Arabidopsis thaliana: one gene and its partner. The protein of the gene in region 1 purifies or fractionates together with the protein of each later gene. This does not show direct contact. Each region holds a gene or a part of one and is shown in the gene's direction. Other genes may lie near its edges. The genes, in order: TWN2 and AT3G02760.

What was found.
Region 2: the proteins of TWN2 (region 1) and AT3G02760 fractionate together in Arabidopsis thaliana (co-fractionation; one large-scale study listed by BioGRID). This does not show direct contact.

The regions. Positions count from the first base shown.
Region 1 is NC_003070.9:5,008,520-5,016,784, reverse strand, and holds the start of TWN2 (valyl-tRNA synthetase / valine-tRNA ligase (VALRS)), read left to right. Parts: upstream 1-2,251; 5' UTR 2,252-2,298; coding exon 2,299-2,433; intron 2,434-2,552; coding exon 2,553-2,618; intron 2,619-3,129; coding exon 3,130-3,192; intron 3,193-3,318; coding exon 3,319-3,497; intron 3,498-3,578; coding exon 3,579-3,651; intron 3,652-3,823; coding exon 3,824-3,889; intron 3,890-3,969; coding exon 3,970-4,053; intron 4,054-4,184; coding exon 4,185-4,262; intron 4,263-4,349; coding exon 4,350-4,433; intron 4,434-4,597; coding exon 4,598-4,677; intron 4,678-4,838; coding exon 4,839-4,896; intron 4,897-4,970; coding exon 4,971-5,273; intron 5,274-5,363; coding exon 5,364-5,534; intron 5,535-5,668; coding exon 5,669-5,868; intron 5,869-6,011; coding exon 6,012-6,414; intron 6,415-6,521; coding exon 6,522-6,773; intron 6,774-6,857; coding exon 6,858-7,358; intron 7,359-7,442; coding exon 7,443-7,549; intron 7,550-7,673; coding exon 7,674-7,773; intron 7,774-7,857; and 3 more. Other genes in the region: decoy, read left to right, coding at 284-444, 674-739, 1,089-1,163, 1,259-1,388, 1,483-1,608, 1,694-1,837. UniProt on the Arabidopsis thaliana protein: Required for embryo development and seed viability.
Region 2 is NC_003074.8:596,488-602,851, reverse strand, and holds AT3G02760 (Class II aaRS and biotin synthetases superfamily protein), read left to right. Parts: upstream 1-2,068; 5' UTR 2,069-2,201; coding exon 2,202-3,551; intron 3,552-3,625; coding exon 3,626-3,805; intron 3,806-3,895; coding exon 3,896-4,153; intron 4,154-4,236; coding exon 4,237-4,650; intron 4,651-4,729; coding exon 4,730-4,870; intron 4,871-4,955; coding exon 4,956-5,264; 3' UTR 5,265-5,747; downstream 5,748-6,364. Other genes in the region: IPP2 (isopentenyl pyrophosphate:dimethylallyl pyrophosphate isomerase 2), read left to right, coding at 24-274; AT3G02770 (Ribonuclease E inhibitor RraA/Dimethylmenaquinone methyltransferase), read left to right, coding at 968-1,151, 1,519-1,835.

The DNA.
Region 1 (8,265 bases):
ATCTAAATATCTATTACTTTTTTTGTCAACACCGTAATTACATGAACGAACCAAATTTTCATCTATCCGAATGCATAGCAAACCGGATTCTGGTTTGGTTATGTAATCCAATTTTAATTAGATCAAACCGGATTCTGGTTATGTAAACCAATAATTTTTCGATTCCGTCGAAATTGTTTTACCTGAAAGGGGATTTGGAAAAACCCTCTCACTCTCAGGCTCAAGCGCCGGCGTTCACTCTCTAACCAAACTCGATTTCGTTTCTGGGTTGTGAGATTGAGAAATGCCGAGATCATCTTTGCGGCTACTAGCTAAGCCTCTCTTGGAGAGCAGGCGAGGGTTTTGCACGAGCTCTGATAAGATCGTAGCTTCGGTGCTTTTCGAGAGATTGCGCGTTGTGATACCCAAACCGGATCCTGCCGTTTACGCTTTCCAGGAGTTCAAGTAAGCTCTCTCATCGCTTTGCTTGTGTTCTGTTTTTTCTTTGGTTGAGGAATGGTGAGATTTTGAGAGAAAATGGGGGGAAAAGTATAGTTGTGTGATTCAAAGACTGCTTTTTTATGTTGCGGAATGAATAAGATTTGAGTCATTGAGCACCGAAATTTTGATTTTACTCTCTGGTTCATTTTGATTTTGATCACGTTTTGGTCTTGATTTTGTTGCTCTATGGCAGATTCAATTGGCAACAGCAGTTTCGTCGTAGATATCCCGATGAGTTCTTAGACATTGCTAAGAACAGGTAAAAGTTTCTGTTTTTCTCAATCTTCTTTTGATATCATCATGTGTCCAAGCATATAATCTGCTCGAAGGTTTCTTCTGCATTCAACTTTGTGTCATCCTTGTTAGTTATTATGACAATAGCAAAGAATGTTAGATTGGGAGTTTTTCCGAGTAGCTCCGTGAGTTATTGTTGCTCAATTCTTCAGCAGAATTACCTTGCCTGAAGTGAACTATATTAGAAGTGTTACATGCTCATAGATATATAGTGAAGGTTCTGTATAGGTCAGTTTCATTTTTCTCCAAGTGCGGTGAAGCTTCTATGAAAATTTCATTTCGTCTTTGGTTAATCTTATGATACGTGAATACAGAGCCAAGGGTGAATACCAAATGGACTATGTACCTGCTCCTAGAATTACAGAGGCTGACAAGAATAACGATAGGAAGTAAGTTGTTGGCACCTCTTAAAGCTTCCTGGCCTGTTGTATTTCTCTTCGGTTGATGATTGATAGTTACTTTTGGGAAAATGCTGCTATTATAGGTCATTATATAGAGCCCTAGACAAAAAGTTGTATCTTCTCATATTCGGCAAGCCATTTGGAGCTACTAGTGACAAACCTGTTTGGCACTTCCCAGAGAAAGTCTATGATTCTGAGCCAACTCTTCGCAAGGTGTTTGTTTGATTTGATGCCTCTATTTCAACACACAAGACCATAAAATTTCATTCATGTGCTTATTGTTAATATGTAAATTCGGTATTTGCAGTGCGCGGAATCTGCTTTGAAGTCAGTCGTAGGAGACCTCACTCACACATACTTTGTTGGAAATGCTCCAATGGCTCACATGGCCATACAACCTACAGAAGAAATGCCTGATTTGCCATCTTACAAGGCAAGAACGAACGTTAACGGGGTTTTACTAGTATTAGTAATTTCAGAAGCTCAAGATTTCTAAACTGAATTTTGTTGTTGTGTAGAGGTTCTTCTTCAAATGCAGTGTAGTAGCAGCATCGAAATACGACATAAGCAACTGCGAGGATTTTGTGTGGGTAACCAAAGACGAGCTCTTGGAATTCTTCCCTGAGCAAGCTGAATTCTTCAACAAGATGATCATTAGCTGAGCCACTCACACCACAAAAACTCCTATTTTCATCCCTTCTTCTCCATCAATGTCATCTCTCTGGTATTAGACAGTGTGAGAAGGTCAATGTAATAACCAAACAAAACCATGTCTCTGGTTGTGACGTGAAGGAAATTTTTGTTGACAGTTGATCTGAAGTACGTAGTTGAATGTAGTTGTGGCTTCTTTCTCAACCTTTTTTTATACATCTCTCCGATAGATATTATATTACGTATCTTGATAAGAAATCACACACTCGTTGATTCGAGAACAGCTTGAAATATATATTGAGTATTGACCGTCGTAATTCCAAGCCCACTGGGCTTAAAACGAAATACCCAACTTGTAACCCAAATCTCTAATTTTTTCCGGTTTAATTTCTAATTTTTAAAATTAAAAATGTTTTTTGTATAGTGTTAAAAAAAAGGAGCATTTCAATTAGCCCTAGCAGGTTTTTTGTCTATGTCACTACTCTTCCTAAGAAGAGCCAAGCCGTTATTTGTATCTTGTTGTTCAGCTACTCATTCTCGCTCCAGCTTCTTATCTCCGACGCTTACGAATCAGCTAGTTCGTTCGTTTCACGGTTCCAGAACAATGGTACGATTTTGTAATCACCGATTGTTTGTTTCTCCGTTAGGATTACCCACCGGATTTCGAAATTCTGCTGCTATTTGTTTAAGTCTGAGAATTGAATGTTTGTTTTCTGAATTTCGTAGTCGGAATCAGAGAAGAAGATCCTGACAGAGGAGGAGCTTGAGCGGAAAAAGAAGAAGGAAGAGAAGGTTTGACTTGTGATTTTTTTCCCCATTTTTCTCAGAAACGTTTTCTGGAGTCGATTCAACGTGGTTGTGCTGTTCTCTTTGAGCTTGATTTTAACAATTTTGATATCTAGAATCTCATAGACGAGTGTGATTGAGTTTATTGTTCAATCATGGGACTAGCTAATAGAGATTGGATAGTGATAACTATGGATTACCCATTTGGAAAATGGAACTGATGAGATCGTATTGTTATTTTTAAGATAGAAAAGTTTGAGAAACCGTCTTCACTATATCAGAATGAAGAAGTGTTCTACATTTAATAGTTTGAGTACTTGGCACAAATTCGTATAATCATAGTTTGTGTTTCTTTTGGTGTTGTTTTAGAGTTGTATACTTTTGAATACGCCTTACATTTCATTTTTCTTTGTGTGGTGGGAGTTAGTTTTAAGTAAAATATTGACTCAATTTTGATTTTTTCAATCTCATTAATTTCATTATATTTTGTTCGAATTCAATTGTAATTTATTCATAGGCTAAAGAAAAGGAGTTGAAGAAGCAAAAAGCTTTGGAGAAAGAGAGGCTGGCTGAACTGAAGGTAAGCTCTGAGGAACTCCAATTATTCATTTCGGGTTCCTGCTTCATATGTATGTGTAATGTGCCAGCCAAATCCTTAATTTTCCCTGTAACTTGAAATATTTATCATGGTGTGCTTCTCGTGTAGGCAAAACAGGCCAAAGATGGAACTAATGTCCCTAAAAAGAGCGCAAAGAAGAGTTCCAAACGGGATGCGTCAGAAGAGAATCCTGAGGATTTTGTGGACCCTGAAACTCCTCTTGGAGAGAGGAAAAGGCTTTCTTCACAGATGGCCAAACAATACAGCCCTGCTACCGTGGAGAAATCGTAAGTGTGTAGATCTTTTTCTTTGACATTTATCCCAAGAAGTTCCTCTAGATAATCTCTGTTATTCTGTAATTGGGTCAGATGGTATGCTTGGTGGGAGAAATCTGACCTTTTTAAGGCGGATGCTAAGAGTTCCAAGCCACCTTTTGTAATTGTAAGGCCTAATCCGATTCTTAAATTCATGCTCGTTCTGGATTCGACCTTCTTTTTATTGTCTTCTCGAATACTTAATTTGTGAAAACCAAATTGAGTTGAGAAAATCTTGAGCTTCTGAAATTATTAATACTATTTTTAAAGTTTCTTTAATCCTTTGATTGATTCTGCAGGTTCTTCCTCCTCCAAATGTGACTGGAGCCTTGCATATTGGCCATGCGCTTACATCTGCAATTGAGGTTTCATTAGCATATTGTTTGGTGCTATAGCTGTCTATTGTTCCTCCCGATGATCAACGGCTTAATACTTGTTGATGCAGGATACAATTATTCGTTGGAAGAGAATGTCTGGGTATAATGCTTTGTGGGTACCCGGGGTTGACCATGCTGGTATAGCTACACAGGTGAGCCCCAATCTCATCTCCCATATTAGTTGAAGTTTCAGCCTATAGAGTGAATCCTCGTTGGGCTACAGGCTTGTAGCTTTATCTTATACACATTGTATATTTTTTTTTTACTTGGATGTACATTCTAGGTGGTGGTCGAGAAAAAGATCATGCGTGATAGAGGCATGACTAGGCATGATGTTGGCCGTGAAGAATTCGTAAAGGAAGTGAGTTGAAAATTTAAAATATGTTGATGAATAGTTTCCTTTTTTCATTATACAAAAATTCTTGTTTTGCTTGTGATCATGGAAAAGGTGTGGAAGTGGAAGAACCAGTACGGCGGTACAATTCTAACACAGCTACGGCGACTAGGAGCTTCTCTCGACTGGTCTCGTGAGGTAATATCCAGTAATTTGACCTTTCTTGGATAAATGTTATAGAAAATTGGCTGTTTTATTTATTTCGCCACTAGGTGAACATATATGTAAATGATATTTTTTATCTTCACTTGTGTCCCTGGGCTATCCATCTTACGGATGTGTTTCGGCCTGTAAATTTATAGTGTTTTACAATGGACGAGCAAAGATCAAAAGCTGTCACTGAGGCCTTTGTACGGTTATACAAAGAAGGGCTTATATATAGGTATGTTTAAGTCTGACTTTGTTCTTTGATGCAAGCTATAGAATTCCTGTAGATGGAAACAGTAATATACCGAAATTAGGATTATAGGACCATTTTACCTTTTTCAGTTATCTTGTTGTAAGAAAGAACATTTGACTGAAGGTATACCATGGCTTCTGCAGGGATATTCGGCTTGTTAATTGGGATTGTATTTTGAGAACAGCCATATCTGATGTTGAGGTAAGTCAGCAGCAACTGTTAGACTAAGATTGTTGGAGGGCATCCTGTTTATGTGGAGTGTCTAATATCTGTAGGTTGAGTATATCGACATTAAAGAAAAAACGCTACTAAAAGTTCCTGGCTATGAGAAGCCAGTAGAATTTGGTCTTCTTACCTCGTTTGCTTACCCTCTGGAGGGAGGCTTGGGAGAGGTAATTGTTGCCACTACCAGGGTGGAAACGATGCTTGGGGATACTGCTATTGCTATTCATCCTGATGATGCAAGATACAAGCATCTTCATGGGAAATTTGCTGTGCACCCATTTAATGGGCGGAAGTTACCTATTATCTGTGATGGAATACTTGTTGATCCAAATTTTGGTACTGGTTGTGTTAAGGTATACCTCTACCTTATATATTTGATGCTGGGTTTCTGCCCCTATTAGTTGTGTTTCTTGTGTCAAAGTTACTTAATTCTTATTTTGTAGATTACTCCTGCCCATGATCCCAATGACTGTGAGGTTGGAAAGCGCCACAAGCTGGAATTTATAAATATATTCACAGATGATGGAAAAATCAACACAAATGGTGGGTCTGACTTCGCAGGGATGCCACGCTTTGCAGCTCGTGAGGCAGTTGTTGAAGCTCTGCAGAAGCAGGTAACTTTCTCTAACTCTTCACATAACATATATAATTTTTCTTTGATTGTTGGTTTGAGAATTTTTGTTACACTATGGGTAGTTGCTTGTAAGTGTCTTGTAGATTTTAACTGTTTTGTCAATATATTATTCAGGGGCTGTACAGAGGTGCCAAAAACAATGAAATGAGGCTTGGACTTTGCTCAAGAACTAATGATGTTATTGAGCCTATGATAAAGCCTCAATGGTACGTTAACTGCAGCATGATTGGAAAGGAGGCTCTTGATGTTGCTATCACTGATGAAAACAAGAAACTCGAGTTTGTACCAAAGCAGTACACAGCAGAATGGAGAAGGTTTCTTTCATTTATCTTTTACTCTATAATGGTTTCTTAATCTACCCCATCTATAGAAGCTCTTACAGCACAGCTGTATGGATAAGCTGCGATGGCGGTTTAAGATGTCATTACACCATCTATTAACAATCTTTACCTTACAGATGGCTAGAGAACATACGTGACTGGTGTATTTCAAGACAGCTTTGGTGGGGACACAGAATACCAGCATGGTATGCCACTCTAGAGGAGGATCAGCTCAAGGAGGTTGGTGCATACAGTGACCATTGGGTTGTTGCTAGAACTGAGGACGATGCTCGAGAAGAGGCTGCTCAGAAATTTTTGGGGAAGAAGTTTGAACTCACTCGAGATCCTGATGTACTTGATACATGGTTTTCTTCTGGGCTCTTTCCATTATCTGTTCTGGGATGGCCAGATGTAACCGATGACTTCAAAGCCTTCTATCCAACTTCTGTTCTTGAAACTGGACATGATATCCTCTTTTTTTGGGTTGCTCGTATGGTTATGATGGGAATGAAACTAGGTGGTGAGGTTCCATTCAGTAAGGTACATGTACATTTTAAGTCAAACAAGGATCACACCTCCTTTTAGATGCAAGTATCACTGTGACCGGTACTTATATGCAAAAAACATATTTTATGTCTTTGCTATAGGTTTATTTCCATCCTATGATACGTGATGCACATGGGCGTAAAATGTCAAAATCTCTTGGAAATGTCATTGATCCACTTGAAGTAATAAACGGAGTAACTCTTGAAGGTCTTCATAAGAGATTAGAAGAGGGTAACTTGGATCCAAAAGAGGTGATTGTTGCCAAAGAAGGACAAGTGAAGGACTTTCCAAATGGTATCCCTGAATGTGGCACTGACGCTCTTCGGTTTGCGCTCGTCTCTTACACTGCTCAGGTACTATCCATTGCACCGTCCCTAACAAGCTCCTTCTGTGTATGTTCTATAAACTAAAAATTGCGTTTCTTGATTCTTTTCTAGTCTGATAAAATTAACTTGGACATTCTTCGAGTTGTTGGTTACCGTCAATGGTGTAATAAACTGTGGAACGCCGTCAGATTTGCAATGATGAAGCTTGGCGATGGTTATACTCCTCCGCAGACTCTAAGTCCTGAAACCATGCCTTTCAGCTGCCAATGGATTCTCTCTGTTCTAAATAAGGCAATATCAAAGACAGTGGTGTCACTAGATGCATTTGAGTTCTCGGATGCAGCCAACACAATATATGCATGGTGGCAATACCAATTCTGTGATGTGTACATTGAAGCAATTAAGCCTTATTTTGCTGGTGACAACCCAACGTTTGCTTCAGAGAGGGCTCATGCACAACATGCTCTCTGGATAAGTCTGGAGACTGGTTTGAGACTGCTTCACCCATTTATGCCTTTTGTTACTGAAGAGCTATGGCAACGACTTCCCGCACCCAAAGACACAGAAAGAAAGGCTTCTATCATGATATGTGACTACCCATCTGCCATAGAGGTGAGTAAGATTTTCGGATTTTCCTTGTAACTTGTCATAATTGTTCACGTTTATAACTCTTTTATTCTGATGCTGTGAACCCAGAACTGGTCAAATGAGAAAGTGGAGAGCGAAATGGACACCGTTCTGGCAACTGTGAAATGCATGAGAGCACTCAGGGCAGGGTTGCTGGAGAAACAGAAAAACGAAAGGTCTGAGTATATGATTAAAGCCCCATTCGAGGAACACTTTGAGACATTTCATTAACCATCCTGCATTTTTTTAAAATGAATCTCACTAAAAAGGTTACTTAATAGTTTTATTCATTTTTCTCAGGTTACCTGCTTTTGCTCTGTGTGAAAACAACGTAACATCTGAAATTGTTAAGTCTCACGAGTTGGAGATCAGAACCCTTGCAAATCTATCATCCTTAGAGGTAAATTCTATCTTCAATTTATGTCTTACGGTTTATCTATTGTTTCGTGTATCATTTCTGAGTTTCTATGGGGCTTTGGTATAGGTTGTGTCAAAAGGACAACATGCAGCACCACCTGGATCTTCAGTTGAGACGGTGAACGAGAACCTCAAAGTATATCTTGAAGTGGACGGAGCCATTAACACAGAAGCTGAACAAGAAAAAATCAGAAACAAGATTGGTGAACTACAAAAGTAAGTCCTTAGACCCGTCACTGAATCAAAACAAGATGCTTGAATCTCATGTTAGTTTCCTGAGATTTCCTCCTTTGACATTTTTATTTCTTGTTTCATCAGACAAAAAGAGAAGTTGCAGAAGATGATGAGTGTGTCTACTTACGAAGAGAAGGTCCCTGCGAATATAAAAGAAGACAACGCAAACAAGCTTGCTAAGATACTCCAAGAATTCGATTTCTTTGAGAAGGAAAGTGCTCGTCTTGCTGCAGAAACAAGC
Region 2 (6,364 bases), on another chromosome or scaffold:
CTGTGTTGGCCTTCCTTTTGCAGTTGATTACTTGCTCTTCATCGTGCGAGACGTGAAGGTTCAACCAAACCCAGATGAAGTAGCTGAGATCAAGTATGTGAGCCGGGAAGAGCTGAAGGAGCTGGTGAAGAAAGCAGATGCAGGTGAGGAAGGTTTGAAACTGTCACCATGGTTCAGATTGGTGGTGGACAATTTCTTGATGAAGTGGTGGGATCATGTTGAGAAAGGAACTTTGGTTGAAGCTATAGACATGAAAACCATCCACAAACTCTGAACATCTTTTTTTAAAGTTTTTAAATCAATCAACTTTCTCTTCATCATTTTTATCTTTTCGATGATAATAATTTGGGATATGTGAGACACTTACAAAACTTCCAAGCACCTCAGGCAATAATAAAGTTTTCGTTTTTATCTTAATTAATGAATGAATGTCACAAAGTTTGTGAGATGTACAAAAAGCGTCGAGGAAAAGGATAACAAGGAAACAGAGTCGAAACCAGAGAAAAGGCAACGCAAAGATTCCTTTTTTCGAAGCTTAACGACAACCCACCTTCCATCTGATTTAAGTAAAGTTAAAAGTCACTAATTTAATATTATTGAACGACCGAAACAAGTATGTTGATGACTTTGTTCTCCTTTAAATTATCATCACTTCATTTCTCAGAGATTTACGCACACAGAGTTCTCTTCTTCGTCCTAGTTTCTTCTATTCCAGGTAAATGAAATAAGATTCGATCAAAACCCAGATGGATTTTGAAATAGTTTTCTTGTGAATTGAATGAAAAGTGTGTATCTTTCCTTCTGGGTTTTGATTGATTGACTGAGAATATATATGATCACTTTATCTAGACTAATCTCGATTTGTCTTTTGCTTTCTGTGTTTGAGTAATTTCTCGTAAATCTCATATAATCAAATCCCCAGATTACTTGTTTTGATCATAATTCTTGATTCAGGTGAGAAGAAAAAATGGCGTTTGTGACCACTGCGGAAGTGTGTGACGCGAATCAAGAGATGATTCGAAGTGGCCAGCTCCGAGCTCTGCAACCCGTTTTTCAGATTTATGGTCGTCGTCAAATATTTTCAGGTCCAGTAGTTACTGTTAAAGTCTTTGAAGACAATGGCTTAATCCGTCACTTCCTCGAAGAGAAAGGTATTAATGATTCTTGCTTATAAAATTCAAAAGACTGAAACTTTACTCGTAGAGCTATGAACTTTCAGAGTATCTTTGACATGGTTTATTGGTATTGTTACATTTTAGATTCAATTCTTGTGTTACTTACTTGTCAAATAGTTTCAATTGTTCTTTGCTTGAAACTATGTTTGAAGAAGTCTTAAGATCATCTCTCTATGATTTAGAACTACTGCTCAGTGTTTATATACTTCTTCAGTCACTTTGCTAATCAAGTTCTTGAATACTAGAGACGAGATAGGTCTTTCAAAAACCCGAGTCAATAAACCAATCTGTTCTCTGTAGCATTCACATCAAAAGCTCAATAATGTTTTAAATGTTAAAACAGGCAATGGTAGAGTTCTTGTGGTGGATGGTGGAGGGAGTTTACGCTGTGCGATACTAGGAGGAAACCCGGTCGTACAAGCGCAGAACAACGGATGGGCAGGGATCATAGTGAATGGATGCATCAGAGACGTTGATGAGATCAATGGTTGCGACATTGGAGTGAGAGCTTTAGCTTCTCATCCAATAAAGGCTAGTAAGAAAGGACTTGGTGAACAAAGAGTCTCTTTGAACATTGCAGGCACTCGGATATGCGATGGCGAATGGCTTTATGCAGATACTGATGGTATCCTTGTTTCTCAGATTGAATTATCCGTTTAAAAGGACACAAGTGATGTTGTTGATTTGTTAAAATCTGTAAGCTACTACTTTTGTGCTTTGTGTTTCTGTAATGGCTATCAGAGTAAAAGTTGGCTTCTTTGAATATGATTATTGAACTATTGAATCCGTTTCGAGTTGATAAAAAAAAACATTTCGTAAAGTGAAAATTGCAAAAAGATCCTTGAAGTATCCATACAAGCATTTTTCGTAGATCAATTTCCAATAACTGGATACTTCGAGGGTCATTTTGCAGTTTACCAATTTTCTAAATCCGCCTTCTTGCAATTTCACAGTGCTTCGTTTTAGGTCAAACACAACGAAAGACAGAAAACCCTAATCACTCCGGCTTCAGCTCTGTGTGTGATAATGGCGGCGGAGAGATCGTCCATCACTCTCGGAGGGAAAGGTTCTTCTTTATCTTCTTCCTCCGTTTACAATGTTGCTTCCGGCGTCGCTAATGTTCGAATTGACTCTTCTGCGATCGAGAGATTCTCCACTAGAAACGTTCCATCGATCAAAAGGAGCTCCTTTGGTATCCCTCAAGGGTTAACGAACGAAGAAACTCGAGCTTCTCTGGCTGTTCTCTTAAACAAGCTTATTTTGTCGACTTCTGGTCCTCCTTCTTCATCCACCGCTCGTTCTGTTCTTCCGCTTAAGATTGTTGAGATTCTGAATTTGAAGGCTGAGAGTTTGGAATTGGGTGAGATTGATGTGACAGAAGGGGAAAACATTGTGTTGGAGAAGTCGTGTGCTTCGTTGATTGGGATTTGTTCTATTATAGATCACAAATCGACGACTCTTTCACAGATTGTGGATTCTGTTGCTGCGTTGAGTTGTGAGGTTACAAAGGCTGATATAGCTTCGTTTAGCTTGTTGGATTCAGGAGATGGGAATGGTGATAAAGATGTGATTGGTGTTGCTGGTGATCTCAAGGTTTTGCTTAACGGGTATAAAGGTACAGGGAAATTAGAAATAGAAGAGATTTCGAAAATCCCTTGGATTCATGGGAAATTCAGGTATGTGGTGAAAAGCGTGCACGCGGATGCTAGGAGAGAATTGAATTCCGGTGTTAAAGGAGGCAAAACTGGGTCTGGAAACACTGGGATTGGTGAGGCTTTAGGAACAACATTGTTACCTTTGTTAACGGCGATTAAAAACTTGGGAGTGTGTTCGTTCCTTCGTGCTAAGCTTTGTTTTGAGAAGATTGTGGATGAGAATCTGAAGAAATGTTTATCTGAAAAGATCTGTGTTGAGAATGAGAATCTAAAGAATAGCTATAAGTTAGCTTATACTGCTCATTTGGAAGAGGATTACTGCAGGTTTGCTCACAAACTGAATGAGTGTCTGGGAATTGTATGGAGAATTGTTGGTTTGGAGGCAGTTGCTGCCTTTTTTGCTCTTGCTGGTGGAGAATTGTTTGTTCAGAAGAGCGGAGATGCGGACAAAGAAGAGTCGAAGACCGATAAGAAAAAGAAGAAGAATGAGAAAAAAGCAGTTGTGGGAAAGGGGACAAGCCTAGTTATCCAGTTTATCAAAGATAGATTGGTGAGTAATGACGCAGCAAGTGATGGTGACCAGATGCATTCATTGATGCAATGTGGGGAGCAAATCTTAAATCTTTTCAACCCAGAGGGTCGCAGTTTTGATAGCTTGTTGGATAAAGTGAAAGAGATTGTAGAAAGTAATGAAAATAGGAGACTTCCCAAGCTTCCAAAGGTAAATTACAATCTCGTATATGGAGAAGGTTTAGGCCTCAGAGTTAATTTCTGATTTGTTTCATTCTATGACAGGGAACTCGAGATTTCGCTAAAGAACAAATGGCAGTCCGAGAAAAAGCCTTTTCAATCATACAAAACGTTTTCAAGAGGCATGGTGCAACTGCACTTGATACTCCTGTTTTTGAATTGAGAGAGACCCTTATGGGAAAGTACGGAGAAGACTCGAAATTGGTTTATGATATTGCTGATCAGGTAGAACTCTTCTTGGCTGCTGTAATATCATCAGTTTATGTGATGATTTGTTTGTCAAAATTTGAGCTCATATGGATCTATTAATTGCAGGGTGGAGAGCTTTGCTCTTTACGATATGATCTAACTGTTCCATTTGCACGGTATGTGGCTATGAATGGAATCACATCATTCAAAAGATACCAAATAGCAAAGGTGTACAGAAGGGATAATCCATCTAAAGGGAGATACAGAGAGTTTTATCAGTGTGATTTTGATATCGCTGGTTTGTTCGAACCAATGGGACCCGATTTTGAAATTGTCAAGATATTAACTGAACTCCTCGATGAGTTAGAAATAGGAGATTATGAGGTAATAACTTAAGTTGAAAGTCTTAATCTTTCCTGGTTGGTTTTTTCTTTGGCTATGTTCTTAATTCTGGTTTGTTTAAATAGGTGAAACTGAATCACCGCAAGTTGCTTGATGGAATGCTGGAGATATGTGGAGTACCACCTGAGAAATTCAGAACCATCTGTTCGAGTATCGACAAGCTAGACAAGCAATCGTTTGAGCAAGTGAAGAAAGAAATGGTGGAGGAGAAGGGCTTGTCTTCAGAGATTGCAGACAGAATTGGCAACTTCGTTAAGGAGAAGGGAGCTCCTTTGGAGCTGTTGTCTAAACTGAGACAAGAAGGGAGTGAGTTCTTAGATAACCAGTCATCAAGAGAAGCTCTTGATGAGTTGAGTATCATGTTTGAAGCTCTTAAAAGATCAAAGTGCAGTGAGAGAATAGTCTTTGATCTAAGTCTAGCTAGAGGTCTTGATTACTACACCGGCGTCATCTTTGAAGCTGTTTGTATAGGAGCAGAGGTAAAATCCCGCATTTTGGCTTCCTGCAATTCAATTAAAGAAATTGTAGTGTATGGCCTTTGAATTCTTCTTTCTGCAGGTGGGATCAATTGGTGCTGGTGGGCGATATGATAACCTTATAGGAATGTTTGGAACAAAGCAAGTCCCTGCGGTTGGGATGAGCCTGGGAATCGAGAGAGTGTTTAACATAATGGAAGAACTTAACGAGAAACAGAAACAAGTAACTTGCCAAACCCTTATGCTGTTTGTCGACCTTGTTTTAAAAGAATGGTTTTTGAAGTTTGTGTTATTTGCTATGAATATAGGTGATTCGACCAACGGAGACACAGGTGTTGGTTAGTATAATGGTGGATAATAAACTAGCGGAAGCAGCAGAACTGGTAAGTCAGTTATGGGGTGCTAAGATCAACGCAGAGTATCTAGTGAGCAAGAGGAAAGAAAAGCATTTCAATCGTGCAAAGGAATCAGGGATTCCTTGGATGGTGATGGTAGGCGAAAAAGAACTCAGTGGAAGTTTTGTGACATTGAAGAAGCTCGAGAAGGGAAGTGAAGAGAAAGAAGATCAAACATGTACTAGAGATCGTTTCGTGGAAGAATTGAAGAAACTACTCTGAGTCGTTGAAAAGAAATGAAAGGTACACACACTCACTCCTGGTTCGATGCCCAGACAAAAGGAATCACAGTGTTTTGCATTCTTTTTTGCTGTTTTCCTTGGTTTGTTTGATAATGGTGTTTTGCATGACTCATGATTGTGGAGACAAGAACTTAGAGATTTTGATGTTGATGAAGTTTTCCGTATTTAACTAATTAGAGGAGATATACGTAAATGTTAAGCCAATTATCAGAATTACGTTTCTTTCAAAAAAATCCTTATCCCTGATAACCTAATCTGCGATCTTATCAGAAAAAAGAAAGAAAAAATAAGTAGGAAATGAGGTGGAAGAATATAAGACCGAAAAGAGAAAATAAAACACAACAGGTAAGGTTGTCTCCAAAAATAAAAAAAGTGATCTGCAGATCTGTGTGATCGCATTTGCATGAGATGAGAGGAAGAAAGATGGTACGTGTTGGTTTCTGTACCTCTCTGCCGACATGTGGTGGCTTCAAGTAACTAAGGTCACTTGTGTATTCACATCTCACGTTTCCATTGACTATTGTCTCTACTCATTTTCGATTCAACTACTGAAAATATTTGGTAAGAAACAAACAGGCGATTTACCATCCCCTACTGATCATTTATATAAAAAAACAATGAGTTCTTTGGTTCCTTAAATAAGAAGAATTCACGGTGGTTATTCTTTTATATACAATAGTTTACTAAGCGATACAATAATTAAATCTGATAAAGAGTCTCACCCTCATGGGATGATTGACTGATTGTGAGACCCTAAATATGATTTTGATCTAAAAATAAATGATCTGTTTTATTGAATTTTCACAATTTTAATAATTCTTCATATTATATATTGATGATATTCTAGTGGATGTCGGAAAATTATGTGTAAGAAACGTCTTATCCAAGCCCATGTTAATTCTGCCAGCCTGAAACAAAAAAAATATAAATATTTTCATACATTAATACGTAAAAAATAATAAAATAATGATTCATCAGAAAGAAAAAAATCTGATAACATAATTTTTGGATGTATTATTAATATAGTTTTTTTATTATTAGAGAGAGTGACCCATCTCCATTACTGTTTCTATCTCTCTC